Styela clava: one gene and its partners. The protein of the gene in region 4 purifies or fractionates together with the protein of the main gene of each other region. This does not show direct contact. Links are inferred from orthologs where the notes say so. Each region holds a gene or a part of one and is shown on either strand. Other genes may lie near its edges.

What was found.
Region 1: the proteins of splicing factor 3A subunit 2-like (region 4) and ATP-dependent RNA helicase DDX42-like purify together in Homo sapiens (affinity purification with mass spectrometry; 3 studies listed by BioGRID and IntAct, with this or other methods). This does not show direct contact. The link is inferred for Styela clava from reciprocal best matches to the Homo sapiens genes SF3A2 and DDX42.
Region 2: the proteins of splicing factor 3A subunit 2-like (region 4) and calcium homeostasis endoplasmic reticulum protein-like purify together in Homo sapiens (affinity purification with mass spectrometry; 3 studies listed by BioGRID, with this or other methods). This does not show direct contact. The link is inferred for Styela clava from reciprocal best matches to the Homo sapiens genes SF3A2 and CHERP.
Region 3: the proteins of splicing factor 3A subunit 2-like (region 4) and survival of motor neuron-related-splicing factor 30-like purify together in Homo sapiens (affinity purification with mass spectrometry; 4 studies listed by BioGRID and IntAct, with this or other methods). This does not show direct contact. The link is inferred for Styela clava from reciprocal best matches to the Homo sapiens genes SF3A2 and SMNDC1.

The regions. Positions count from the first base shown.
Region 1 is NC_135253.1:14,088,527-14,096,219, reverse strand, and holds the start of ATP-dependent RNA helicase DDX42-like, read left to right. Parts: upstream 1-4,672; 5' UTR 4,673-4,832; coding exon 4,833-4,934; intron 4,935-5,065; coding exon 5,066-5,173; intron 5,174-5,491; coding exon 5,492-5,572; intron 5,573-5,708; coding exon 5,709-5,835; intron 5,836-6,050; coding exon 6,051-6,354; intron 6,355-6,881; coding exon 6,882-7,128; intron 7,129-7,604; coding exon 7,605-7,693. Other genes in the region: polycystin family receptor for egg jelly-like, read left to right, coding at 1-180. UniProt on the Homo sapiens protein: ATP-dependent RNA helicase that binds to partially double-stranded RNAs (dsRNAs) in order to unwind RNA secondary structures. Unwinding is promoted in the presence of single-strand binding proteins.
Region 2 is NC_135250.1:12,309,949-12,317,615, reverse strand, and holds the start of calcium homeostasis endoplasmic reticulum protein-like, read left to right. Parts: upstream 1-4,665; 5' UTR 4,666-4,771; coding exon 4,772-4,796; intron 4,797-4,988; coding exon 4,989-5,159; intron 5,160-5,528; coding exon 5,529-5,704; intron 5,705-5,841; coding exon 5,842-5,965; intron 5,966-6,040; coding exon 6,041-6,198; intron 6,199-6,848; coding exon 6,849-6,995; intron 6,996-7,316; coding exon 7,317-7,475; intron 7,476-7,667. Other genes in the region: uncharacterized protein LOC144419834, read left to right, coding at 3,055-3,384. UniProt on the Homo sapiens protein: Involved in calcium homeostasis, growth and proliferation.
Region 3 is NC_135260.1:11,001,078-11,007,725, reverse strand, and holds survival of motor neuron-related-splicing factor 30-like, read left to right. Parts: upstream 1-4,684; 5' UTR 4,685-4,768; coding exon 4,769-5,521; 3' UTR 5,522-6,139; downstream 6,140-6,648. Other genes in the region: winged helix repair factor 1-like, read left to right, coding at 6,185-6,648. UniProt on the Homo sapiens protein: Involved in spliceosome assembly.
Region 4 is NC_135250.1:29,566,769-29,573,874, reverse strand, and holds the start of splicing factor 3A subunit 2-like, read left to right. Parts: upstream 1-4,083; 5' UTR 4,084-4,188; coding exon 4,189-4,314; intron 4,315-4,600; coding exon 4,601-4,672; intron 4,673-6,040; coding exon 6,041-6,197; intron 6,198-6,563; coding exon 6,564-6,657; intron 6,658-7,106. Other genes in the region: uncharacterized protein LOC120334753, read left to right, coding at 268-328, 813-923, 1,398-1,633. UniProt on the Homo sapiens protein: Component of the 17S U2 SnRNP complex of the spliceosome, a large ribonucleoprotein complex that removes introns from transcribed pre-mRNAs.

The DNA of each region.
Region 1 (7,693 bases), on a different chromosome or scaffold from region 4:
GGTTCTATTATTCGTCATGACATTACAGAAGCTATGAGAAAATCTCTTACGCTAGATCCAGTTGCTATCACCGGATCAGAAAGACACATCACTAATAAGATCAACAATGACGCAATGAATAAGCGAAAACTTATGAGACGCAATTCGAATTTGAGGGAAAAAAATGATGTGGTTTCTTGATATCTATTGAAATAAAGAATTATGGTAAATTCGCAATTTGTGATTATTTTGGTCGAGTATCAGATTGTAATCTTGAGTAGGCTATTTCTCCTATTCAGTGGACTTCAACACAATTTTCAATAGCTTAAGTCTACAAGGCTCAACCTTTTGTGTACAACTGTCATTCGATTAAAATATTTGAGAGGAAGAATATTTAAATTCTACTAATATAACAGCGTGTTAGAAATGTCTCTTCGGTTGAAGTCTAAAGGGATTCTTATTTCTTCCACATTTCGCTGTAGCTGTACTATGGCAATATGCTCCTAAAGATGTCAGCACGTAATCCCCCACGAAAATTAGAATAATTTAATATAAAATAATATGAGGTTTTTGCAATTTTGAAAAGCAGTTTTTAGGAGATCGTCCAACATGCAATGATTTTAGAATTACCCGCAAAATATCACATAACGCTTTACGCTATCGTTTTTCAAGTACCTGCAGAATTTGGCTAACCCACAAACAGCATGTACATCTAAATTTTAGAAGATAACTCTGTTTTCAACAGGCTAAGACAGCATTTCCCAACCATTTTCTCACCCGCGAAAACCTTTGCGGACTCAAGGTGCGTTTATTGCAACCGTACTCTTTGTGAAGAAGCGATAAAACCAAACACAACAGAAATTTAACGAATTTCAAAATCGGAAATTTGCCGCAATTACGCGTTCGTTAAAAAGCCCACTTTTTTAGTGTGTAATGAACTTTTCTGTGACACAATATTCAATCCATGACAACGACGAGAATTTAAAATAACTTTCTATTTTAATTCAATTGCGTCCATAGTAACTCGCAGATGCGGTCGACTACTCGACTTACGACAAGATGATCTGCGAACATAATAATGTGAGAATATATTGCCCGATTATATTCAGTTTTGATACATATTTTCTGCGATCTTGCGATTTTGTTATCGCCGTTAGAAAAATCCTACTATCTGCTATAAATTTCCAGAATGGACAACTTAATTTAGTACTTATTAAAAATAGATTTATATTTAGTATATTAGTAAATCAAACCTAAATATTTATCGCCTTGAAATTCTCGCGGAACAACTTCTGAAGTAATCGTCGGGTATACGTCACTCGTTAAAGAGCCGACTTTTCTATAATTTTTTCTGTTGGATAAAATATTCAATCCATCCATATTTGTGATCCTTTTAGCAATACTAATGAGAAAATATCATGACAATCCGTGCACACAAAAATGTGTGGTAAAGTGCCGAATTATATTTAGTTTTGATTCGTATTTTCGTAAATTCGACAAATCTGAGCTGTTTGTACAACACTTACGGCGCTCCAGTACTATACGTACCGATGTGGAGTAAAGAAAAGAATCCTACGGGAAAATGCCCTGGTACGTAAACTACGGTAGCACCAGAAATTTTGCGATTTGCAATGCGTAAAAAAGCATTTTAATCGGTCGAGGACCATCATAAAACAAAACTTATCGTGTTCTCCATTTTATTTTTAGTATTTTGCATCGCCGCTTTTCAATTTAGAAAATTTCGGTTGTCACCATTTACACCTAACAGAAAAAATATTTATTCCTCGTTGTTCGAACTCGCGAGAAACACCACTTAGGTATCTATCGACGTTTTCGTTTCCGCAAGCGACGCGCAAGTGAACTGTCGCGTCACGTATTACCAAATTTTCGAATAGTAAATTGCTATTCTAATATTTGAGTGCGGCCCCTGTGAATTTCTGGCTCATTGCGGACTCATTTGAGGCCGCGGACTCGGGTTGGGAAACACTGGGCTAGAGCAGTGCTCCGCAACCGGTGTGCCGCGGCGCACCGGTTTGCCGCGAGACGATGCCAGGTGTGCCGCACAGGAATTGCCACTTTTCTCTTCTTTTTACAATTTTTTTTTATCCTTTGTTAATTTTACGTTAGTCTACTACTCTACTAACGTAAAGTTAACCTGCTTTTACGTTAGCTTGAGCGACACCAATTCAAATTCCTTACTCCCCCCACTGTGCATTTGTGACGTAAAAAGGAATAGGCCTATATGTCAAGCAGATATATTGTGAAGCCCATATTATATACACGCTTTGGTAAAGCCTATTGTCGAGGCTAAAACATAGCACGTGTAGTCGTGTAGTAATCGAATATGAATAAAACTTGAGCTTAACGAAAGAATTACCCCTGCGTATTCGAGAAAATTTCTTTGAAGTAAGAAATTACAGAACGCTAAGACTGAATTTCAGCGAAATTCCACTTGATGTGTCTTGGATTTCAATAAAAGAAGAATATAAGCACATTTCCAATGCAGCTATTGAAATATTGCTCCAGTTTTGCACAACTTATGTGTGCGAACAAAGCTTTTCCTCTTTATTACTGATCAAAAACGATAAACGATACTGTATAAAGGATGTTGACGGCGAACTTCGAGTTGCTCTTTTATGTATTGTGCTCATTAAAACAACCACAAATCTCTCATTGAAATATGAACCTAAAAACAAAGTTACACTTTGTTTTTTTCGTTTGTTGTGGTGTACCGTCAAATTTGGCAAGATTTATAAGTGTGCCGCAAGTTAAAAAAAAGGTTGCGGAGCACTGGGCTAGAGAAAAGATTGCAGAAAACTATTACCCATGTTACATAATCTAACAATTCTCTTCTTCAAACAACTTAAAATTCTATAACTACACAATGACATGTTAACTTGATATCGCAAAAAACTTGGGTCTAGTCATGACGCTACTACTATGACCTAATCTTTTAAGGTCAGCCTACCTAGCTTCTAGATCTTGTTCTCGTAAAATGACTTTGATCCATTCTTTGTAGCGATTTCCGCTTGACAACGAAATTCTTGAGCTGAGAGTGTTTTCTAGAAGTGCTTTGCAACTCTTGCAGTAGCGTTAGTGAGTTAACGTATCTATTCATTATTGTACGTAAATGTAATTGAATAAAAGAAGGCGCAATTAACGAAGTCGCCATTGGCCAATCAGCAAGATACAAACATTACCTCGTTTAAACGTTTTTGAATTCTATTCGTTAGTGTTCAGTTGTGTTTTGAAAATTTAAATATAAATCAGATAATTCAATGATCATTTTGTCTTCTTAAAAGTTTCAATTTAATTGCAGTAATCAAAAATTGGTGTAGAAATAGCTGTGATAGACTAGGCTGATATTCTTTACCGGTGCTCGCCAACTCGCGAAACTACTCTTAAAATAAGCCCCGGAATTTTCGCAATGGTATATAGCAGCGTTTCCCAAACTTTTTCGGCCACGGAACACTTCCACGTTTTATCTCGCCTCGCGGAACACCAAAAAAATAAAAGAGTAAAATTGATAAAGTAAAAGTTGTCAAATGCGCGGGGAAAACTAACAGAATTGTGTTAAACATACTTAAAATATGCTTGAATATTTTACATGTTGCCAATGTTATAAAAGTTTTCTTAATTTAATATGAATCAATAAATTCACTTTACCATTTATGTCATTTACTTTTCATTACGTAGTGTTTGCCTCTAATGTTACGTCTAATGGGAGTATAAGTACTTGCTGCAATTTCGCCGCAGTTTATTTATCAACTTAATAGAGTTTAGCGAAAATGAGTGATTTTTTCAGCATTTTAAAGTAAAACCAGGCTGATACGGAGGAAGAAGAGTTGACCCTTTTGCCTTTATTCTTTAGACCTACACGTTTGCCTATAGAAAAACCAAAAAGATTGTTGTAAACTTGATAATGAACTTATGAATGAATAACAGTCTAAAAGCTAGGCCGACGTATTTTTGTACGTACGTAATTTATATGACTTATCGAAAACGCCACTACCCTTTCCCAGTTAGGGCGACGGTGACGCGATATTGAACGGTCAGTTGGGCGACAACTTCACGTTTCAAAGATCAGGGCTCCCCAAACTCGCGGCCCCTTTTGGATATATAATTTTTTTTCGCGGACCTTGTCCACGTTAACAATGCTAAACAGTTCGAAAGATGCATTTTTGATGTTTTGTAAAGTTGGTGTTCTTTTTGCGGCCCCTAAAATTCGATGCGCGGCCCCTAATTTGGGAATCGACAAATCTCCATAGCGACCATTTGAGACGTATTTTTGATTCCTTTTCCACCGAACACTTCGAAGTTGCTCGCGGAACACTAGTGTTCCGCGGAACACAGTTTGGGGAACGCTGGTATATAGGAAGAGTGTGGGAAGAATTTTGGGAAGTCAAAGGTCGGGGAAAAGTCCATTCACCCGGAGAAACCACTGAACTGTGATCTATTAGCGTCTCATATTTAATAATAATAAACAATCCAAGATCAGGCGAATAGGTGAGAAAAATCAAAGCAAATTATGATTTCTGTCAAATTTCCTAAGAAATGCATTACGCGCTACGCAAAAGTTGGAAGTCTATCGCCTAAACGAGGGAGGCTTCTATTGGTCCCGCTAAAATGAGAGAGAAGCACACTTTATATATCTCTGTGGGAGGAACGCCTGGTCACCCGAACATAACCGCGCAGTTGCGCTGCAGAGCAATGTAAATTATAAGTAAACCATAGCACCAGCATCATCGATTAACACACAGACTTGGTTGGAAAATTCTGCGGATTATCGCAAGGCAGTGTCCTAGCCAGGCGTTGCTCCATTGTCTAATTTTTGTGTCAAAGGTGCCAAGAGAATGAGTGGAGGAAATAAAAAGTATGGGTTTCAAGGTTTTGATATGACTGGCTCGTCTAGAGGAAACACGTCATACAAAATCGGATCCAAGCGGAGATTGAGTGTGAGTAAGATTAATATTGTAATATAAGTAGGCTAGCCTAGTTCTATGTATATGGCACTCTAGGGCAAACTGTTTCAAAAACAGTTTTATATTTGGTATAAAGTCAGATTTAAACAACATTGAATTTTTAGGAGGGTGAAGATGAATACTTCAATGATGACGATGAGCAGCAAGATAATAGACAAAAGCAACGTGATATTTTGGCTGGATGTCCATTTTTATCAGAAGAAGAGAAGCAGGTAAACTTGGTGGACCCAACCCTACATATTCTGATATTACAGCGCTGTTTTGAGTTAAAGTTAGGCTACATGTCAAGCGCAAGTCTTGAAAAAAATGATGAAGAAGTGGTCAAATGTGTGTCATGTATATATCATATGAAAAAAATAAACATTACACTGCCACTGCTGCATAATTGCAGTATAAAAAGTAATAAGTAAAAGTATAAAAATGTCCTGTTTTATTATAAAAATAACTTTGCAAAAATGGAATGAAAAGGTTATATAAATAGCACTCTAGTCGTAGTATATGTATTAATGAATTTTAATGTTTGCCATAAGGACATGATCAAAAAACAAGAAGAAGAAGAAAGTGAAGAAGAAGATCCTCTTGATGCATTCATGGCTAACATTGAAAATGAGGTTATTTTTTCTTTTCATTTTGCAATGATGATATGTTAATGTTACTATCTTGAAGAGACCATGCTCAAGTTTAAATCTAGTTATTGGTGTATTCATAACTTCAACCTTAATGGCTGAGCCGTTTGTTATTTTTAAGGTCAAAAAGCAGGACAAAAAGGATTCCGTACAAAAGCGAGATACAATCAAAGGTGTCAGAGATGATTTAGAGACAATGGATGATGAAGAATCCTATTATAAATATATTGAAGAAAATCCTGATGCAGGTAGATGCTAAATTATCTTTGAAAATTTATTGGATATTCTTTTTGTGTTAGTAGAAAAAAGAGATCATATTTGAGTAACAGTTTATATGATATTCTTTAAACATAATCTTTATGAGATCATCTCTATTATGTGAAATTGATCAAGTATGAAAATGAGGCAGTGGAATGATGTAATATTGTTCGTTTTACAAACCTGTCACATTTTTCTTCCGCAGGGAAAATGTTTCTGGATGCTGATGATCCAGTTGAATATGATGAAGATGGAAATCCAATTCCTGGAACACAGAAAGATAGAAAGATGATTGATCCATTACCAATGATTTATCACTCTGAAATTGAGTATAAAACTTTTGAGAAAAACTTTTATGTTGAGCATGATGATATTAAAAGACTTACAGATTCAGAAGTTTCCATGTTACGAGGGAAACTTGGGATCCAAGTTTCCGGTTTCTTTCCACCAAAGCCTGTAACAAGTTTTGCTCATTTCGGATTTGATGAAAAACTGATGAAAGTTATAAGGTGAGTTTGCATTTTCTAGGATAGTTAGAAATGTATATGCTAATCTTTCTTCTTTTAGCTTGAGCATTACCATAAATACATAGTGTAAATGCAGATTAAAAAATGCTTGATTTGAAGGGAAACGGCAAACCTTAAACTTTGCTACCCAAATATGCTCCGGTGTGATCACTATGTTACGAATTTATGCTAAAATTAGAACGAGAATATCGGTCAGAGACCGAAGACTTATCGATCGAAAGTTAGGGGATCCCCCAAAACAGCGCTCTTACTCCATAGTGACACCTTGTGTCCCATCACTAATTAATTAATAACTCGCTAATTATTCGACATAATTTGCCCTAAATCAATAGGCTTCTGGTCCGAGATAAGATGAATTCACATGCAAAATCTAGAGCAGACTCAATCTCGCTTTCGTGAGATATGGCGTGTATCTAACAGACATACAGACAGACAAATACCTATCAACATACTTACCGATTTAAATCGATAAGTAATTATTCGATAAATGATATAATATTCTTTCGAAGGAAAATGGAATATACCTCCCCCACGCCAATTCAAGCTCAAGGCACACCAAGTGCATTGTCAGGCAGGGATGTAATTGGTATTGCCAAAACTGGTTCTGGTAAAACAGCGGCTTTTGTTTGGCCCATGTTGTCTCATGTACTGGATCAACCTGTACTTGAAGAAGGTGATGGACCAATTGCACTTATTGTGGCACCAACAAGAGAACTTTGTCAACAGATACATGCTGAAGTAAAAAGATTTGGCAAGGTACGGTATTTATATTACTGATGGGGTTTGTTGCCTTCTTGTTCATATATTTGCATCGCTCATCGCTCTCTTGTTTATTATTTATTGTTGTTGCTTGATATCTTTGTTAGTTCCAAAACAACATGGGTTTGGTACTAGAGTTATCTGAAAGTAATGAGATACCATATTTTTGTATATCTGAAATGAAAACTTACAATAAAATTAGGTACTTCCGTAGTGTGTGTACCAGGTTAGGCCATAATTTTATTCTGATTTTCCTTATTTTAGTTCTATTACGAGTTCGGGTACTGTCTGTGTTAGCCAAGTGTATATATCCCCTGCCCATAGGCTTTCATCTCTTTACACAACTTGATGTAAAGTAGGCGAACAAAATTAGTTACCTCCATATTGCACTTCTGGAGTGCCTAAAATTATTTGTATTTTATCCTTCTACACTACTCGTCATTTAGACTGTTCATTCCTCCATTTCTTTTAAGATTTATGGAGTAAGATCAACAGCCTGTTATGGTGGTGGTAGTATGTGGGAACAACAAAAATCACTTGCTGAAGGATCAGAGATTGTAGT
Region 2 (7,667 bases), about 17 Mb from region 4:
GTTGAAAACAATGACCAAATTGACCAGGAAATCGAGAAATGGAGTAAACGATCCCGAATTCAGGGTAAAGACAAATGTAAATGAGTATATCTCCAGCCCCCATTAGACCTCTAAAGATGTTTTGCCCTCAAGAACTTTCTAATAACGATAGCTCCATTCTGATAACAGCTGACGAAGCGTCTACTACACAATCTATGATGTTGCGGTTTGTCTCACCGAAAATTCCATTCCAAAAATTTGTACATTTAACTGATGTCGATTATAAAATAATGAATTCCAAAACTATTTTCAGAAGAGACTGGTTCACTTCGGATATTATGAACACGGCACAACTAATTTTGTCATCTCGGTATTCTGAAGTAGACTTGTTATACAGCGCTATCTGGCCCTAAAGTGTATATTCCTTTTCAAAAATTTGTTTGTGCACGAGAATCACTGGGTAACAGCATCAAATATATTCACCCCTGACCAAAATACCATACAGATTTATGATAGCTCAAATATGAAGTACAATGAAAATGACGAATATGCGATTTCGCTTCTTACGCGGCCAAGGCAAGGAACAAATAAAGTACCAATTGAATTCCCCGCTGTCAAGCAACAAACTTTATGTGCATCGTGTGGCCCATTCTCGATTAGTTTTTGCATAGCCCTATGTAACAAAATACGACCAGAGCATATACTATTTGACGAGAAAAATCGTAGGAAGAAAATATGCGATGGTGTTTCATTAACTTTTTAAGCTATTAACCTGAATCAACAAGCGTTTTAGGTGTCGCTGCCTGAAGACCTCTTGAGGTCCCTCGCGACTCCTGTCACAAAATTTAAGTTAGTTTCCACTTGTATTTGTAATATTTTTTCATATATCATACCATGTTTAAATTGTGTTGACGAATAAATGATGATTGATTGATTGATGGTATGGTCTCTGAAAATTTTTCGTCGGTATTTAACATCAACAAGAAACGTGTTATACCCGCGTCCAGGCGATTGGAAATTCCGATACTTCGCAACTGTCAACTGTCTTACATTGAAAATCAGACCATGATCGAATGCACTTCATGTTTGAAATGGTACCATCCGAAATGTTGTAGTGTTCCAGTCCCAGTTTAGGCACTGGAAAACAGCGAAATAGAATGGAATTGCAAAAAGTGCATCCGATGCTAAATTACACGCAAAACAATATTCAACTAGATATGATGATTTACATTCTCATTTTTTTGAGGTACATCGTTCAAGTCAGACGAAGGATCAGTCTGTTTTACCTATTTGGCTTAACATGCCCTTTGCCAGGTTTTTCTCTCTTGGTCTAGTCTACAATACTGAGATGAAAACCGCCACGATGGTTGGCACCTTGACGTGGTGTGGTGGCTTTCTAGTAAGACCAACCAACCATTTTAGGAAATTTTTTAAAATATAAGATAGATCCCCGGTAGGGAAGAATGAGATGATTTCACAATTCGTTTATGTTATCTTACTTAAATTGAGGCACGCCATTATAATCTATACAGTATGTGGGTTGTGATAGCGTTGTTTATTAATTTTAAGTCGGATTCTTGTTTGGGTCATGTGTGACAAGATATATATTATTATATATATGTTCCCGACATACAATTTTTCTTAAACACGGTTCGAGGTTACTTAACAATATATATGTTTATTTGGGATATTTTATTTAAAAGTGGGGCACGTGATTGAAAAGTACAGAATTTGGGGTTGAAATACTGATATTTATTACATTTGAAGTAAAATTCCTGTTTGAGCCATGTTTGACAAGATATTAATATATGTTCCCGACATACGATTTTTCTCAAACTTGGTTCGAGGTTACTTCACAATATGTTCTTTTGGGATATCTTATCTAAAAGTGGGGCACATAATCAAAAAGTACAAACTTTTGGGTTGAAATACTAATATTTATTAATTTCGATGTAAAATTCATGGTTTCGCCATGTTTGACAAGATACTGTTGTTGTTCACCAATGCCAAGCAATAAAGCCATTTTACTTTTGTACAGTTGTAGTCTAGGTATACAAGTATATAAATTACAAGAACAAAATTGCCTGGATGTGTAGTAATTGATAGACCATTATTTTTTAATGAAAAGAAAAAAATACAAAGAACATTATGCCATTGAAAATGTACGGCCCCGTAGTGATGTACACCAAAGTTGGGTCTCATGTAGTTTCGTACCTAACATACTTCTAGTGATATTTATTACATTTGATGTAAAATTCCTGATTGAGCCATGTTTGACAAGATATTAATATATGTTCCCGACATACAAATTTTCTCAAACTTGGTTTGAAATGACTTCACAATATGTTTTTTTGAAATGTCTTATCTAAAAGTGGGGCACCTAATTAAAAAGTATAGAATTTAGGGTTAAAATGCAGATATTTATTAATTTTGATGTGAAATTCCTGTTCGGCCATGTTTGACAATGTATTATTATATGTTCCCAACATACAAATTTTATAAAACTTGGATTAGGATGACTTCATTTTAAGTTCATTCTTATATCACCTTCAAAAATCTGCCCGACCATCGGAAATTACAGATGAGTTTTGTGCAATTCCGAGTGTAGCAAAATTTCGCCGTAAATCTGGCAAGTGCTTTGCGACTAGATTCCCCTTTTTCGCCATGTTAAATTGTTTTCTGGCAACGCTATTTTACCGTTCCGAAAACGAGAGAGAGATATGTCCGCTAGGGCAACTTTGGGTTTGGGGGTCTCCTTACCTAACATACCGTACTTCTAGTGGGTGTAGCATAACAATATGATATGTCAACTCAATCCTAACCCCCATCTGACTACGGCCTCTTGACTACGTCATGCTACGCTCACTAGAAGTATGTACGAAACTGCATGAGACCCAACTTCGGTGTACCGTACATCACTACGGTGCCGTACGGTACATTTTCAATGGCATAATGTTCTTTGTATTTTTTTCTTTTCATTAATTAATAATGGTCTATCAATTACTACACATCCAGGCAATTTGTTCTTGTAATTTATATACCTGTATACCTGGACTACAACTGTACAAACGCAAAATGGCTTTTTTGCTTGGCATTGGTGAACAAGATAAAGCTTTGGAGAGCAATGCTGAATTATTGCAACAAATGGCATTGTTGAAGTATTTACAGTCTAATGAATCTTCGTCTGCCTCAAGTACAATATACCAGTGGATTACTGCAGCACGAATTGGTAATGAACTGTACCAGAGAGTTTCAGGAAAACGCAAGATTGAACAATTCAGAGCTGAATTTTTGGCAGGAGTTGTATCATATCTGCAGAAAAACCCAAATGCATCTCCCAAAAGTCAGAAGACAGAAATTGAAAGATTAATTGGTGTTTTTATCCTGCAAATGAAGTCTTTATAAGTGAAAAAAGATGATATTTTTGGAAATAATTTTGATTCCATTTATGATTATTTTGCTTTTGCACTTACGCATTTGCAATATTGCAGTATTTTGAACTTTGAAAATATGAATTGTTTCTGATATTTCACTTAACATTGACTTTTTTACTATTTTTGTTTTGAACCATGGCTCTCATCCATTAACCCTTTGTTAGATTAAACTTTTGTTAGATTAAAAAGTGCATACAAGGCTATTACTGGGACTAGTAGAGGTTGTGAATAATACATGTTTTGGTTTTAAGAAACGCTTTCATTTCAAACATATCGACACATGTAGATGCATTTTCATTTTTATACCTCACAGATTGTTGATATATTGTGGTTGATACCTTTGATTGTATTATATTTTCACAAAGTCTGTCGCTTGATTGACGACATTGACTAACACAGATTTATATCCAATATTACATTGTCATTTAGCTAGGCCAAAATATGCTTGGTGCACCCACTTAAAATTATATACAATGCTGTGGAAACATTCATATTGTAAAACAGCTCATCCACAAAATAATATAATTTTATTGTGTCTCCTTGACTACTTTAGCATTCTGAGGAGGAGCCATTATGCGGTCTCCTTATGAAACAATGCAAAAGTTTGTAAGTTGGCATTTTTGATTGAGGTGATCTTTATAACAATGCCGTTTTTATGCTTTGTTGGGCACTATGTAAAATAAATTTTTGACAATACTGCATGGGGAAGAATTCATTTAGTGCTTCTGTTTTTTCTGTTTTGTTAAGTATGCTATGGAGAATTTATTTTTCTCCTATCGCCAGACAATTTAGTCTAAACTGTCAATGTGAATAAATATAGGAGCAGTCGTAGAAATTGATATATATTTATGTCATCGAAAAAAGGGTTTTGCATATTTGCTTTTAAATTAATAATAGAATTAAGTACAGCATATCAGAGACAATTTTCCAACACATTCCTACGTTAGCTAATAATAAATTTCGACTGAATTGCAAGTTGTATTATTTGTAAATGGTGATTCAAATTGAGAAAAATAAACATATTGGTATATTTCAATAAAATATGTAGAAAATCGTAAATATACCTTATATTAATCACAATGTTATTGGATGCATAACTGAAATAGAAAATCCTTGTAGTAGAAATTTCATGAATATTCATTTACAGCAAACTTTAATTTTAAAAAATAAAAAGTATGATATGGCTGTTTAGATTTGATATAAGGAAAGAATTGTTTATTTTCATTGTTTATTTTTATTTGTATGCTTGAAAAAGGGTTTAATATCTTGTATAAATATTCGTGTACTTATCTTCAAATATAGCTACATAGAGCCTGTAAGATTTAGCAATATATTGCCTGCATTTTCCAATCTATAATATGGATGTTCTACAACCACCAGTGGGTAAGATGAATTTATCTCTTATTTTGAAAATTTCAACTCAAATTTTATTGGCTTTGAGAATAAAATTGTGAAATCATGTTTTGGGTTCATTTACTTTATATAAATGTTGTTACCTAATAAAACTGCTAAAATATCCAAAATCAGACTTATTCAGAATAAACTTTTTTTTTTTTAAAAACATCTTTTCAAAAGAACCTGAGGTGAAAAATATCATTGACAAATTGGCAAACTTTGTTGCAAGAAATGGAGCAGAATTTGAGAAGATGACGAAAGAAAAACAAAAAGGGAACCCAAAATTTTCATTTTTATTTGGCGGGGAACATTATAATTACTACCAATACAAACTATCAACAGAACAACAAAGTAAGGAAATTATTTTTTATATTTTTGGGAAATTTAATTTTGTGTTTGTTCAAATGAAATCCAGTATAAGTTTCGAATATTCGTTTTACATCTTTTGCCTGTAAGGGTGCTGTTCAAAGACGCAACGGTCTATTAGAAAGTTTTTCTTTCTTAATTATGGTATTCAATCTAGATTACACCACTGATCATATTGCAGAGTTTTTACATCAGTCTGATTGTCCAAAGTTACTCATGAGTCATGACTTTTAAAATCTCATGTTTTTATATTATATCCTGTTTACATTAAACCTGTTGCAAATTTTGAAGTTTGTATTTATACTCTCTCATCATGTTAATTTTTCGCTGTATTCTTTTTTATTGCATTTTCAGTTCAAAATCAGCAAAAAGCAAAATTGAATGCGCAAGTAGTTGCACAAGAAGCAATGGTACAACATTCATTGCAGAATGCACCTTGGCAACGAAATCCTCAACAACAGCAAAGTCAGCAACAAGCAATTCCACCTCTGATGCCACAATTCCCAAGGTTTCCCCCTAATATGAGAATGGTATGTCAGGTGTTCTGTTTTTTGTATTTTTGGTAGATGGATGATGGCTAATACACAGTGTTAGTCTTGTATGTGGTTTTATATCTATTTCTTTTTGTAATCTCATTTTATATACTGATCTTCTTATTATATTATAGCCAATGTCGAATGCTCCGCCATGGCAGCCACAGTCCCAAAGATTCATGCCACCGAATTCAGGACCAAACATGCATCAGCCGCCACCTCCGTTCCCAGGCCCCGGTAATAACCAGACAGTACCAAGTTAGTGACACTTTGATTCATCAAAATTTGAAGTCGAAGTGACAAAATTTTTTTTTTAATGAAAACTGTTTTTAGACATGCCGATGCCTCCTAATCAGCAAATGGGTGGACAACCACCACCACAAAATTTCAATATGCCGTATCGACAACCACCACAGAACATGCCACCCAGGACATCAAGGTTTAGTCAGTTACCACCAGAGCAGTCTCAAACTTTACCAAGTCAAAATCAGGTTTGAAATTTGTCATTTCATTTTAGTTCATATATATATCAGTGGTTCTCAATGTGGTATGGGGGAGCTTTTAAAATGGTACGCGAGCAGCTTTGAATTATTGCAACAATTAGTTTTTGAGTTTGCTAATATATGGCAGCAACACTTTCTCTTTATATTTAATACTGTATGTATTCGCTAAACGGGTTCATAGCGCTACCAGTCCTTGTCTTTAGAGATAGCCCTCGTCCGCTACTGCCCAACTAAAATGAAACGAGAGTGTAATAATTAAAACCTTTCAGCTTTGACAGTAGACGATGCAAATTCTTTCGTGCTTCTGCACACAATTATTACGTTGTTAGGACATATATTTAATATGTTGAAACTTTGCACGAAGATCTAGAAATGGATGTAGTGCCACATTATAAAATAGTCCCATAGCACGTTGCTTGTGCCTTTGTTGCCCACCCCAAAAGGGGGCTTCAATGGTGTTACGCTGTTGGAGTAAAAAAAAACACTAAAGAACCACTGATATAGATGTACAAATTGAAAATTTGATATGTTCACATAGTATTCTGTCATGTTATCAAACTATGTTCTACTCTAAACAGGGCGTTGGGCAAGCAGCTGTTGAATAAATTATATTGTTTGATGTAGTTCATTTTGTTCAGGAACCTGAAGACAAAAAAGCATCAGACTTGAGTCAAGGCAAAGACGAAGAAGGCCAAGAAAATGAAGAATATCAAATTGTTCAAGCTGAAAACGAAGCCAAAATAAAAATTGAGAAAAGCAGCAGTAACTTAAAACAACAATATGAGGTCATGATGCACATCTGTACTATTAACTATATACAGGATGACGCAAAATGAATAGAACTCATAAATTTATTTAATACCTAAACACTTGAACTCCTGTTTGTGTATGATTATACCTACAAGTTTCAGTATTCTAGGACAGTTTGCACCAGTTATGTTCTCTCCACAATATGTTTCGAATTTCCCGGGTTCTGTTTTTTCAGGTTACCCTGGAATTTTGTTAATTGCATTCAAGATGCGCACAATTTTTCTTTATCGCAGGCCTGTAAATGGCTTTTTTCAAATTTTTGTATTTGTATTCTTTATAATAAATTTTTAATTCAGGTTTTGATGCACCAACAACAAGAAAAAATTGATGCTGCAATAGCTCAGACCGAAGAAGAAAAATTAAGAAATCTCGCTTCGAGTACAGGAATTATAACTTCTGATTTCGATGTTGTTTTGCAACCCATTATCAACACTTGCACCAAGGACTCAATTTCAGTGAGCAATAAGCTTGTTGGTCCTTTGTTATAGTTCTGGACTGTTTGCTAATTTATTTTGGATAAACAACGGCAATATTTGTTACAATTCAGTAGACTTGTAAAGAAATGTTAGTACAAAGTACAAAGAAGCTGACTAATGCATTGGGAAATTTATATTCAGTTAATTTACTCAATTCTAATTTAGTAGATA
Region 3 (6,648 bases), on a different chromosome or scaffold from region 4:
CTGAAATAAAGCCGTTAAAAAATTTATAATTACAAACTATGGCAAAAATGAAATGCAGAAATATTTTTGAATCGTTTTTTTGCATTTATTGGATATTGTTAAAATATAATATAATCTACCTCTCGATCATTGTATTCAACAAACTGGAGACTGGAGCTTCTTCCAGCGATTTAAAAAAAATGTAATAACGATAAATAAATATAAACTTCGATTTTATTCATAATTATAACTGACGTGTTCTAAAGTATGTCTGACAAAAAAAGGAAACTGCCATACTTGTAAATAGTTGCAACTTGATATCGAAAGAACATCGCTCCCATTGAGTTCCACATAATCCTATAATTATCAACAAGTTAAATTAAAAAGATGATAATTATCAATTTAGTAGACTTACTCATAATTTAAAAAACGACATAGGTAAAAAGTATCAGATATACGTTTTTTCATAAGATCATGGTGTAGAATTTGTTGAAAAAACACGATAGAAATTCGGTTCCCAAATCAGTAACAAAAATTTCTTGTGAAGATTTAAATTACCATGATATTGTATGATATATGCGTTATGAAGATTTCAAGTTTAACCAATATTTCCCAGGACACCTTCTTCAACGTTATTTTCAACTTGTTCTATCATCCAGTTCATTCTTTTAGCTACTGCCATTGCAATCTAGTAAATATATTTTTGACAATATGAGTAGCGTATAAGAATTACATAAAACAATTTTTGCACAGCTCACCTGAATCTCTGTAGTTTTCTCTTCCTCAATATTGGCAGTTTTGACCCATAGATATAAAATTGTAACGGTAAACTTAAATTGATGGATATTGTGACTACCTAACTGAATTTACTGCTATAGCCTACTAGTCAGCATGATATTTTTGGTGAGTGTACGAATAAAGTGCCAAACCCAATATATCGATGGATGAAATTCATCTCCAACATTAAATTCCACTCTGATGTAAAAGGAAGTGGTGTGTTTCCTGGCGAACGGAAAATGAACTCGGCTGAAACGAAGAAGAAATATGTGATTTTCATTAACTGTGGGCCGACACGCCTCAAAAACCTTGTCGAACAATTCTTAAGTGCACTGGAGTTTGAAGAGAATTTTTAACTACTCTATGTTAATATATATATCGATATTCTAGCTATACCTTACCCTATTCCAATCTAAAAATAAACCTGGACTCCCCTCGGCCTGAAATTATAAAGTATTAAGGCAATGAAGGCATGAACTAAAATATATATAACTATGATAATAGAACTTTTTACATGAAAAATAATTAGTCCGAAGGGAGGTAATAGAGCCAGCATGTAGTCGGCGATTCACTTCCATCTTAATCCTGTAAATTAAAGCGTAAGTATTCTGTAATAACAGATATAATATATAACGGTCAATATTAATTTGAAATCTTTATCAATAATAATCTTACCAATGATCTAATTTTAGCTATTCTATATCCATCTGAAAAAAGAGAATTGAGTTTTATTGAGATGTTATTGCACGCAGTGCATTCGAGTAACAAAACAATAGTTAACATAAACTCACTCTTTTCATGTAATCGAGACTATTTCGTTCCCTCAATATTTTTTCGAAAGGATGTGGAGCAGTTGGTTCTCGACTGAGATTCTGAAGAGGAGTGATAAATAATACAGCAAGAAGTGCTTGAGCGTGTCGTGAAAAAAGGAGAGAGCATAAAGTATATTATAAGACCGCTCGAGACGTCTACGATTTTCATTGCTAGTAATAATTCGAAACTACAACAAAATGCGCTGAAATTAATTGGTATTCACAACTATCTTGAATTGTTGTACCCATGTCCTATACTCAAGTACAAGAAGATGCGGAACATAAATTCGTGTTTTATCCTCGTTTTGTGAATTCTAACAATATATTTAGGAAAATCTTCAATGATTTTCGAAAACCGCTAAAACAATTCTAATTATTTATTTTAGTCGGGAAAACTTTCAAGTCACAAGTTATAAGTTACCTCGTTCAAAATCGACGGTGATAATTGATACCACAAAGATGTTGCTTCCTCCCTTTTTTTGCAATGTCCAAAACAACATGCGTCTTGAACTAGTCTGACAGGCAGGCTACAGGCGGAACGACTTTCTGCAACATCAGGTGCCTGTGGCGTCAATTGATAAAAAAAAATATAGGTATGTTCCATGTTGTCTGATCAACTCCACCGGCATTAACCTTCTTCCTGCCGTCTTCCCTGGGCCAATTTGCATGAGTTATTTTTTAAATATTTTATTTGTCAACCATCAAGCCCTAAAGCTTCACTCGTGGCTTTTTAAAAGCGTGTGCTAGAGTTCTATTTAGCAATATATCTTTAAAACACACTCCTCTGATAATATTTTATTTTCTCTGCGATAAAATTTCACGCGTGACTCGCATGTCACCATTTAAAAGCCGTAAGATGCGACTGATGGTCAAGTGGCAAGCTGCGTAGCAACCCACTTCAATACTGTCAGAGCAACAACTAATAATTTTGCAGTTTGTAAATTTGTGATAATATATATATATAATTTATACAAGGAAACTAACAAACCGAAGTTTGTATAGTGAGCTAAATTAACTAGAACTGGTTTATAATCTGATATTTCGACCGCGAATTTAGTGAAACGTTTTTTTGAATATCTTGACTGATGTGGTATTTACTGTAATATGTAACGCATTTTAAAATGTTAGATAAAATAGTGTTGAACGGAAAATTAGTACATGCTTTTCACAGCCGATGTGGCAAAATCGCCACCTTGTTCCAAATTACTAAAGTAACCGATGTGTTGTCACTTTTAGTTAAATGTAGCTTTCGGTAGATCAATCCATAATTTTTTATGAGGAGTTCATCACACTTTCACTTCAAACAAGGCTATTCACACGCAGCCACTTGTGCGCAAGAAGCTACTATTGTAGGGAGGGCCGTTTCCTTCCTGTTTTGGCTTTCCCTCCTTCGTTTTTCATAGCCGGAACAATGTGATGACTGATGACCATTGGTTTTGGTCGGAGATATTGACCCTGCGATGCCAATATAGTTAAGTTCTATATGTGCAACGCTTTACTCACTATTTCATATTTCTTCAAAGTTGAATGAATGAAGGAGTTGACCCATTTCCATCATTCAAGACTACAAAAAAAGCAGTAACTTTTTTACACCCTGGATGATTTGAGCGTAAATATGGTTTGAGTGATTATCACTAGAACTCAAGATTTGTAATCAGGGAATATAATATTTGTTTGTTTATTACAACTCACATTCAACACGCAAAAACTTGGGATTTTTAGGATTTTGGGGATTGGGATTGCCAGTAAATAGAAATACCGTATAAATATAAAATCCAAAATCGAGACTTTTGGAGAATGTCCCAACCATTGAGGTGTACACTACAGTATTTATACACCTCAGTGGTCCCAATCGATCCTTGTGATTGGCTTGTCACGTGACGTGACTGCGCACCAGATTTGTTGTTTGACGTTTTGGCGATGTTTCAACTCAATCCTTCAGTCCCTTCCCTAGGTCTGTAGGTTCGTTCGTTGGCGTTTTGAAAGATCATTTTCCAGTTTTAACGCGAGCGTCTAAATTTATAATGTTGCCGGTACTCAATCAATGTACAGGTGCCGCGTATCGGGGTACGTATGACGGTATGGCAGTATCTGAGTATGGACAATCACTATCAGACTATGGTAAACCCTGAATAGGATAGGATAGTATTTACATATTTATCCCAGGGGAGAGGAAAGCCGATAAGACGGCTTATCCATATGGCAAACCACGGCCTCTCGTCCGGTTACAATTCCTAGTCGGTATCAGGGTATGGGATTAGTTATATTGTTTGTTTTCGGAAGCATGGACTTGGTGGTGGAGGAAGCCGAACGGTAACCGACCAGCGGTTACGTGAACCACCCAACGACGGCAAGGAGTCCAGCAATCCTCTCGCACATAACCATCCCTGCATGGGATTCGAACCTGCGAACCCACGCAGAGTAATTAGAGGTGCGGTGGCGAGCGTATTTCTAACACTTAGCCCGTTGAGCCACACCGCCACGCCGCGCTGAATCCACAAGATTCAGAGATTTGGGATACCGGTACCTTCATACCGGTATTCCATTTTTTTATTTCTGCTTGACCTTATACTGTTACGGTACCTAACAGACTTCTAGGCTAGTAGTAGGTGTGGCATAACAATTTTTTGATAAATGTATTGAATGGTATCTAAAGTCAAAGTCAGTTGCATGCGGGCGCAGTTGTTTCGCACGCCCGCAAGGGAATTCTGATTTGCATGCAGGAATTTCTGATTGCACGCCCGATTTCTCATTCAAAAAGGCCATGAAATCCAGACTAGCCACCCTCGAAACCTTAATAATAAACTAGTGTACGGTAGGCCATAGAACAACAGGTGTCATAAACCTGTACACATTATATTAATTAAATTTTCATCAGGTTTAGTACGGTATAATTTAAACTGCTATATATCTCAATTTCCCCACTACATTATCATTAATTTAGTGTTCACTTGTAATATTTGGTATATCTGTATAAAGCCCAGTCCTGTACCTGTAGTCTAACAAATAAAATGAATTTAAATAATTGTACTGATTTCAGGATTTATACAATTCAAGTTTGAAATATAGGAATGAGGTTCTTCGTATATGTACCGGATTGCAGAATTAATAAATGAATAATTTTACCATTTTGCAAATACAACAGTTTTGAAAACCTTTAGATCTTTTAAACCTTTGAATTTTTATTAAAACAAAAAATCATGTCTGCCGAATTGGAAGCAAATTTGACAAACTATAAAGTGCAATTAGCGCAAGTCGAGGCAGCTCTATCAGCAGATCCTGAAAATGAAGAACTTAAAAAATTGAAGCAAGATCTTGAAGAAGTTATTCAACTAACTAAAGATTTAATGGGAGTAGAAGCTGCAAAACCTTCAACGAAAGCAAAAACAACAACTGGAAAAACCGCCGAAGAAATAGCAGAAGAGACTGTTCAGCCTGACAGTGGTCCTCGTCATATGTGGAAAGTAGGTGACCCATGTTATGCAATATGGAGTGGAGATGGGAAATATCACAAAGGAGTACTCGAAGAAATTTTACCTGAAAGTGCAACAGTTGCAGTTCGATTTGATGAATTTGAGCAGCCAGATGTTTGTCAATTAACGCAGTTAAAACTGCTTGCCGATGGTGACAAGGCTGGTTTTAAATCAAAAGCCAGTAAACGGGAATTAATGATTCAACAACGTGAATATCGTAAAAAGAAAAATCAAAGAAAGAAAATGAGAGCAAAAGAGAAAGAAGCTGAATCTGAAATTTCGAAACATAAATGGAAAGAATTTAATAAAAAAATCACACATAAGTCTATGAAAGGTGCCGTCAAGAAAAGTATATTTGCATCACCTGAAGGTCTTGTTGGAAGAGTGGGAATTGGTACTTGCGGAACTGCAGATAAAGATATGACAAAATATGATGAGGGTGCTAAATATAACGCACGGCATCTTGTGCCAAAATCATGAAAGGGTGTTATAGAACTTCACACCTATATCATTTAAGTAAGATGGCATGTCTTTCAGGGATAGTATCAAGCGACATATGACAAAGTTCATAATCTTGTTACCAAAAGCATTCTTTCTGGCATTTGGATAATATGAACTGGATGAGGAAATTTATTATTTTTGGCTTGTTTTAGATTATGTGTATATTTTTGATAGGAAATGGCATGGTATTAATGTGTCCATGGATATTATGATGAAGTCCCAGTCATTTGTTTAGAGAAATGATATTTTTCATGCCTTCAATCTATTTATATGCTTGATGAATGAAACAGAATAATCGAAATAAAATATGACTGGAATTTAGATTAGATGTTTCGAATCTTGTCTACTATTTTGCTGTTTAAGTTGGATAACAGTTAAACTTTTTCTCCAGTGAAAATTAATCAAGAATGACTGGCTGTCAAAATCTCTAGAGAAATAGTAACGTCATGAGGGGAATCTTTATTATTTCTCGAGTTACAATGATGTAAATTGTACCAATGTACTTCTACTATTTTTTTTCAATCCAACTGGATGTGAATTTACTTCTGTGAAATATTCAAGCTTGTTTTTATATTACTTTATTCTTTTCTCTATAGATCAGCATAATTACTAACACTAAATTAAAATATTATTTGTCACGGAATGAAGAGACGACATACTATATTACGTGGCTCTCCTGGAAACAGCAAGAAGTCCAAAACATTCATACCTTGGAGTAATGGAAAACTAGATTCAGAAGCTAATATAACTGATGCAATGAGTGCAATTGAGCACATTAGAAATATATTTCCACAAGAACAACTGCAGAACCGGTTTCCGCCTATTGTTTTTAAACATCAATTGTATGCTTTATTGGAAAATAGAACGACAGTTGATCAGCAAGTAAATGATCTTTTTGAATGTGGACGAATAAAAATATTTCATTTGGAACATAGAAATGAGGAGCATATGATTGTATTAACAAAAGATTTTATTGCTCACGTCAATCGATATCACAATATTTCATCTAGGGAAGGACGGGGTGAACGTAAAGATGATAAGAAGTTAACTAGCAGGGAGCAAATCATATCTCGATTTTTGATCGAGGTTATTGGAAGTATATCAGA
Region 4 (7,106 bases):
ATAAATACTACGGGAGGCTCTTGGCTAGTCTTCGAACTGATAATAGGACTAAAATAAGGAAAATTGAAAAAAAATTATCGTCTAACCCTAACCTGTTACCCATGTTTACGTTCCGATGTCCGCCATCTTGGTTCGCATACTTCGGGAGCACCAAATATTGTATGTCTGTTATTTTTTCTCCCAATTAATTTATTTTTTCTGTTTATTTGGTCAATATTTCATGCTTGACGAAAATTCTTTGCTCCGAATTGAAATTTGAATTTTCAGGTTCGTTTCAAGTTTGGATCTGATGCAGGAGATTTGTCGAATATAAACGGAGGAGAGTCAGGTATGGTAGCAATATTTTTATGGAGAAAGTATATTTATGGATTCATTTTGTTAAATTGTTGTTGAGGTTATTAGTGTTGTTGTTATTGAAAACAAATCGCTCTTCCTGACAAATAATTGTTGTTGTTGTGATTGCTAATATTTTTATTTTTTTGGTTCCTAAATTTCGCTGTTTCTAACGTGTTTCCCCGTCAATATGACAAATTATTTCAATTATCTTTGAATAATAACACTAGGGTTTATTTTGGGAGGATGTCTTTTTTTCATTTATCAAAAACAAAATTACAAAGTGAAGAAGTACGAAATTTTCAAATATACAAAATAAGAAAACCGATATCCTTAAACTTATGAATAACGGAACAAAAAAAAATTGCTCTATTGACTAGGTGGTATTTTAAGGGGAGGGCTTATGTTGAAATAAGCCCATATATTTGAGCATTGCTCTCTTTTTATTATTATTATTGTTATTATGAATCCTTTCACAGGAAAGGGCAAATCTCAAACAAATCCCGCTTTGTTTGGAAGATCATTATCTGTGACTGAAACGATTTCTGAATCTGAACCAGCGGCGAATTTGGCAACACCATTTGGTCCAGGTAAGTCAACAAATTTTGTTCTGCAATTTTTTATGTTAGCTATTTGGTTTATGCAAAGTGACGCTCCATTTTCAAGTATATTATTCATATGTTACGGTTCATTTTAATAATTTACGCCACCAAATGCAACAATGTAATAAAACTAAGATCAGGTAAGTGAACACGTACCACTTCTTCTTGGCAAAACCTTTCATCTTATATTCTGTACGTTTTAAACCTTATCTAAGGTTTTATTTGCGGATTTCATAATCCATTTTTAATCATTTGTTTCAATCATTTTATTGTTATGCTGATTATGGAGTCGAAATAAACTTATACTGCATCTGAATGAATACTATGCCATGGATAGGTGAATTTATTCTGATATCCGCTCGACACAACAAAAAGATAACACACAGGATAGAAATTCAGGAAATTCATAGCTGAAAAAAACTACGGCTTCTCAGAATTTACCACTTGTTATTATTTTCACAGCCTCAAATACCGGTATTCACAGCATTCAAATACCAGCAGGAGTGACCCAAGTGGTGCTGCAACTGGGTGGGGTTGGCCAATTACCGGCAGCCCTTCCAGCTGCGGCCCCAGTTCAGGAGACACGTCAAGGAAGCTTATTTTTAAACCCTGCTAATCCAATCCAGATTAACATGTACGGCGACGGTGAAAATAAAGTCAACATAGATAAGAGCTATATCCGCTCTGTTGAAACATAGATCGAAGTGTCGTATAGTTTTTTTTATCATTGGCCTGTAATCAAAAAAGTAATTTAATTGGAGCATTTTTAAAGTGATTATTTTTAATGAACTTGCGCGCTATGCGCTTTACCCCTGTGACTCCGTTTTTTTAATCTATGATTTAATTTTTGGTTAATTCGTGAAAAATATTCAATATTTATTACACGTTTTACATGCTTATCGTGAAATAAATCTCAAAATAAGGTAGAAACAATTTGAAACTTTATTTTCGGAAACAAGGTGGTTCAGGGTAGTGTATTTCAGAAATTTTTAGGATAGGATAGGATAGGATTTACATATTTATCCCGGGGGGAGAGGAAAGCCGATAAGACGGCTTATCCATATGGCGAACCACGGCCTCTCGTCCGGTTACCATTCCAAGTCGGGTATGGGATTAGTTTTACTGTATTGTTTGTTTTCGGAAGCATGGACTTGGTGGTGGAGGAAGCCGTAACCGACCAGCGGTTACGTGAACCACCCAACGACGGCGAGGAGTCCAGCAATCCTCTCGCACATAACCATCCCTGCAGGGGATTTGAACCTGCGAACCCACGCAGAGTAATTAGAGGTGCGGTGGCGAGCGTATTCCTAACGCTTAGCCCGTTGAGCCACACCGCCGCGCCGTGGGCCGTAGTTTTGTAACTTTTTTGTCCGACCAACGAAAGACAGTCAGAAAATCAGTTATCAGATACAGGCAAACCGCAATCAATCAATTTTATTTCGGTCACTCTGAAAGAAACAAAACAACAACAAACGGACAAACAAAATGCAGAGAACTTGGAGGACGGGTATAACTTAATAAAAAAGTTAAAAACGTACAAGTACGTGCCCGTCCACCAAAAACAGTCAAAAAAACCACAATAAAACAAAATCACGATGTAAAATCGGGCAATACCTTTTAAATCAATTTTAAAATGTGAGACACAACAATCAATCAATCAATCATCATTTATTCGTCAACACAATTTAAACATGGTATGATATATAAAAAAATAATTACAAATACAAGTGGAAACTAACTTAAATTGTGTGACAGGAGTCGCGAGGGACCTCAAGAGGTCTTCAGGCAGCGACACCTAAGTGCTAAGTACAACAGTGCTTTTCTCACAAAAATATGGAATAAAAAACACTCGTTGACGTAAAATGGTGATGCTGTAGTTCAATTTCATTGCAAAAAAAACACAGTGACAAAAAATTGTTACCAAAAAACAAGCTCGTTAAATAGATTGAATGTTCCACAACCGGCCATGCACAAATCATGGATTAGGGTATCGGGTTCCTCTGTCGCCTTCGACCAGTTCTATTTAAAATCATTTCATCCGATCCGACGCCTCCAACATCAATATCGAATGTCCACTCACCACTCAAACGTTAAAGTAGGTGCTTTGTAGGGTTATCAGCATTTGATGCTATTACATTTTCTTAGCACATATAATCAGTGGTGGAATCCAGAGGATTCGTGCGAAGCCGTGATACTCGTGATACTCAACGGCCATCTGTTGTTAGTGGTTTCCATATCAGAGAGAGCCCGTTTTTATATTTATGAATCGTTGCAAATAAACCAACTATCAGTAACAGCAAATTGGGGTTGAATGGTCTTTTATGACTCTACTTTCAAAGTAATTCCTGCTTCTGGGAGTAGAAAGGAAAATGATCATTGTAAATTTATACTGTTAGCTACGCGAGAAAGATATAGTCAGTAATCAGTATGTTAAGTTTATAGTAGATTCTTGCCAAAATAACCAAATTATGCTTGAACGTTAATAACTTGTAAATTATAAATAGATATTTAAATTTCCGTCTTGTTTCTAAAGAGGTTTTAGAGAGCGAGTCGCTTGATGAGCAGGTTCTTTTCTCCTTAGACTATTTTGATTGTCGTGTTTTGCGGACCACAAGGCGCACTTCAACTTAAATTCCTTTTCTCAACAAAAAAAAATTGATCGTGCGCCTTATAAGCCGGTACGTCTAATCGGAAATATATACTACTACAGTCTAATTTATGAATAAAATAATCTAATCACCTTTGATGTATTATTTCCAGTGTGGTTGAATCCTATGTTTGTAGAAAAGTGATTAGATTGGGGATTGTTGTCCTATCGGCTTTCGTCTTCTCCTGGACAAATATTAAATTAAATTTCACCCTTTATTGCAATCAATGGTATTTATCGTATAACAAAGTTATGTCGAATATGGGAATAGTAAATCAGGTATTCGTTCTAAATGCATGGACGCTGAAACACAAGAACACACAGATTGCAGCAAATGATTAAATTATCAAGAATTTTTAATTAGAAAAAAACTTTTTCCCAAGTCTTACAAATATTTGTGAAAAGTCATATGCCACAAAAATCTTTTCATCTATCTCCTAAATCTGGCAAGCGTCGTTTTCGATTCAATTTCATCATGTTTACGTTCCATGCCGCCATCGGGTCTATCGTCGGCGCTCTCGTTTGTGTTCTGCCTCACCGTACCGTGAATCTGTCTTTGGTGTTTCGTATTCAGAATACAGAAAATACACGGTGAAATAAAAGATAATGGACTTTCAACACAGAGCCGGTGGTAAGACAGGTGGAGGTGGTGTGGCCTCGTTCTCTGATGCAAATAGAGATCGCAGAGAAAGGTTGAGACAGTTGGCCTTGGAAACGATTGACTTGAATAAGGTAAATTTCTTATTGTTTCATTTCGTTTTTGAGTATTGAAACCCTGTCGAGTTTATGTGTCTATGATTATCTATATAGGTAATATATATCCCGTACTTTTGCATATTCTGACTTTTGAGATAAATAAACATAATGCCTAATAACTAAAACAATGAAGATAATTCAGTAATTTATTACTCCATTAATGCACTATTGTTTTACAAACAACATGGTCTTATCTTTCTATCAAGGCAGTAAGGAGTCAATTTTGAAAGTGCTGCTATACCAAAGGTATTTTGTTTTTCAGGATCCATATTTTATGAAAAATCATCTTGGCTCGTACGAATGTAAACTTTGTTTAACACTGCACAACAATGAGGTGAGTGATATATTACATATGATTGATTTTGTTATTCCAGTTTTGCACAATCACCAGATCTTTCGTACAAAGCGCTCGCCAATAATGCAAAAATATGACATTTTAGAAAACACCTCTGTCATATTTCAGTATTTCTAAATAACGAATAGTGATTATCCAATTGAGGGTTGAGGTTAGGAAAGATTATTTGAATTTCCAGTGCCATCTGCATTCCTAGCCCTCACTTGAACTGGATAATTAATCCTTTTTATTTTGAGCGTTGCTGGGGGCTTTGTACAAATGAGCTGAATTACGGTAACTATGTGTAACACCACGTTGTTGTTTTCTGATATCTCCCAGCCCTTCAGGTCTCAAGGCAATAAATGTTTTCTCGACTCTCGATTCAAGAATAATTCTCTCTACACTTTGATATTTCAAAATTTGGGATGCTTATTTATCAAGTGTTTTGGAGAGTCGACGTTTATAAACATTTTCAAACCCATCATTTTTATCATAATACAGCCTACAACAATACGCTTACAGATACTTGCAGCTAGTTTTAGCCTAGTCTATAGCAGCTTACCTTGGCACTGATATTTGATTATTGTGACTAAACTAAAGCTCAACGAAAAACATTGACAAATGAAATATACCGTATATGCTTGTTTTACCGCCCGATCTTGAATAAGGGCCCGTATGAATAGCTGCCCGTGTGAACAGAACATAAAAATAAATAAGGGCTGGTGCTTGAATACCCGCTCGATGTAAAAGCTGATTTTTCAGTGGTAGAGAACAATAGGAAATAGAAGCGCTTTTGTCACAACGCTGTTGAATTTTAAGTGCCTGTGTCGCAAAACTTCCTCTTTTGTGGATTTGTACCTGCGGTGCGTAGAAAAAGTCAAAATTCTCGTTATTCTCGTTCAAATCATACTTGAGAAATGGAAATAACAATATATTAATTATTGTAACGATCAAAAATAACAAGCGCCCGTGCTTGAATAGGGGCCGGTTTGAATAGGGGCCCGGTTAGTGAGTTGGTTGAAAAAAATGTGGGCCCGGGCTACAAAACGAGCAAATACTGTACTTTATTTATAACTAATTTTTGGAAACACAACTAAAACCTGACAAAAAACTTGAGTGCCGCGAAAGCGAGGCAATGTTTAAAACCATGCCTGAGTATCTGTTTGGGCAAACAAAGTGCCTGAGTGGCTGCAAAAACTACAATTGTTACGTCATCGTTGACGTTTTGCTAAATGATCATTGTTACGGAAATAAACAAGGAAATCATTGCTCAGCAAACTTTCATTTGTAATTACTGCTACATATTGTGTTGCCATAATTCTGCACATCTCATTACCTGCCTCAATTTTGAAAATTTCCTCTTTCCAGGGAAGTTATCTTGCACATACTCAAGGTAAAAAACATCAAGCAAATCTGGCAAAAAGAGCAGCAAGGGATGCAAAGGAAGCCCCAGCTCAACCTGCTCCAGCCAAACCCACCATTGAAGTCAAAAAGTTTGTTAAAATCGGACGGCCTGGGTATAAAGGTAATTAATTAATAAAGAAATCTGAATAGTTTAATGATCAAGAACGGGGGTAATCTGGAGGAAAGTTCCTCTCCTCAATTGACGTACAATTAAGACATTTTTGAATATACGATGGTTTCAGAATTGCATCGAATATTTTTTCCGAATCGAATAGAATGTTAAATACTTGTAATACTAATCTAACGTAGTTGTATTGACTGTTTTACACTGATGGGTCTTTCAGACACATATTTAGGGGAAATACGTGATCTATCACTCAGATTGTTCGCTGAGTGTTCACACACAGTAAGTAACATTCTTCATCAATAACTCAACTTCAACTACTTGATTATTATTTAATTAATGTTGCATTCTTTTTTTTTTCAGTGACAAAGCAAAGAGTGCCCGATACTGGACAACAAAGTTTATTATTCCAGGTCGATTATCCTGAGATCGTTGATATAATCATACCAAAACACAGGTATGAGCTTCTGTCTGCAAATTAATTTTAATTGTTGTACACAGTGGCGTAGCCAGGGGGGGTGGTTCTGCGGGTTGAACCCCCTCCCACCCCCTTTGAAATGTAAAAAAAAATATCATTTTTCTGTATCATAGATAGCAACTATTCGTATCATAAAATGCTTTTTAGACCCCAAGACTAATAAAAATACGCGTATTCCAGCGTTCGATCGGACCCGCTAGCTGTTTCGGTCTAACTTGGCAAATAAAAATTTCAGCCCCCTTTAACCCCCCTTTGAAAATTTCTGGTTACTCCCCTGGTTGTGCATGAAGTGGGACTATGTGTCGTTGTTACAAATTTTCGATAATCAGTAATTTAAAAATTGCCTTTTATCAATTTAAAGGATTACCGGTAATTGTTTTAAAATTCTCAGCACTCAAAGGTGGAATAAGTAACTAGGAGGGTATTAT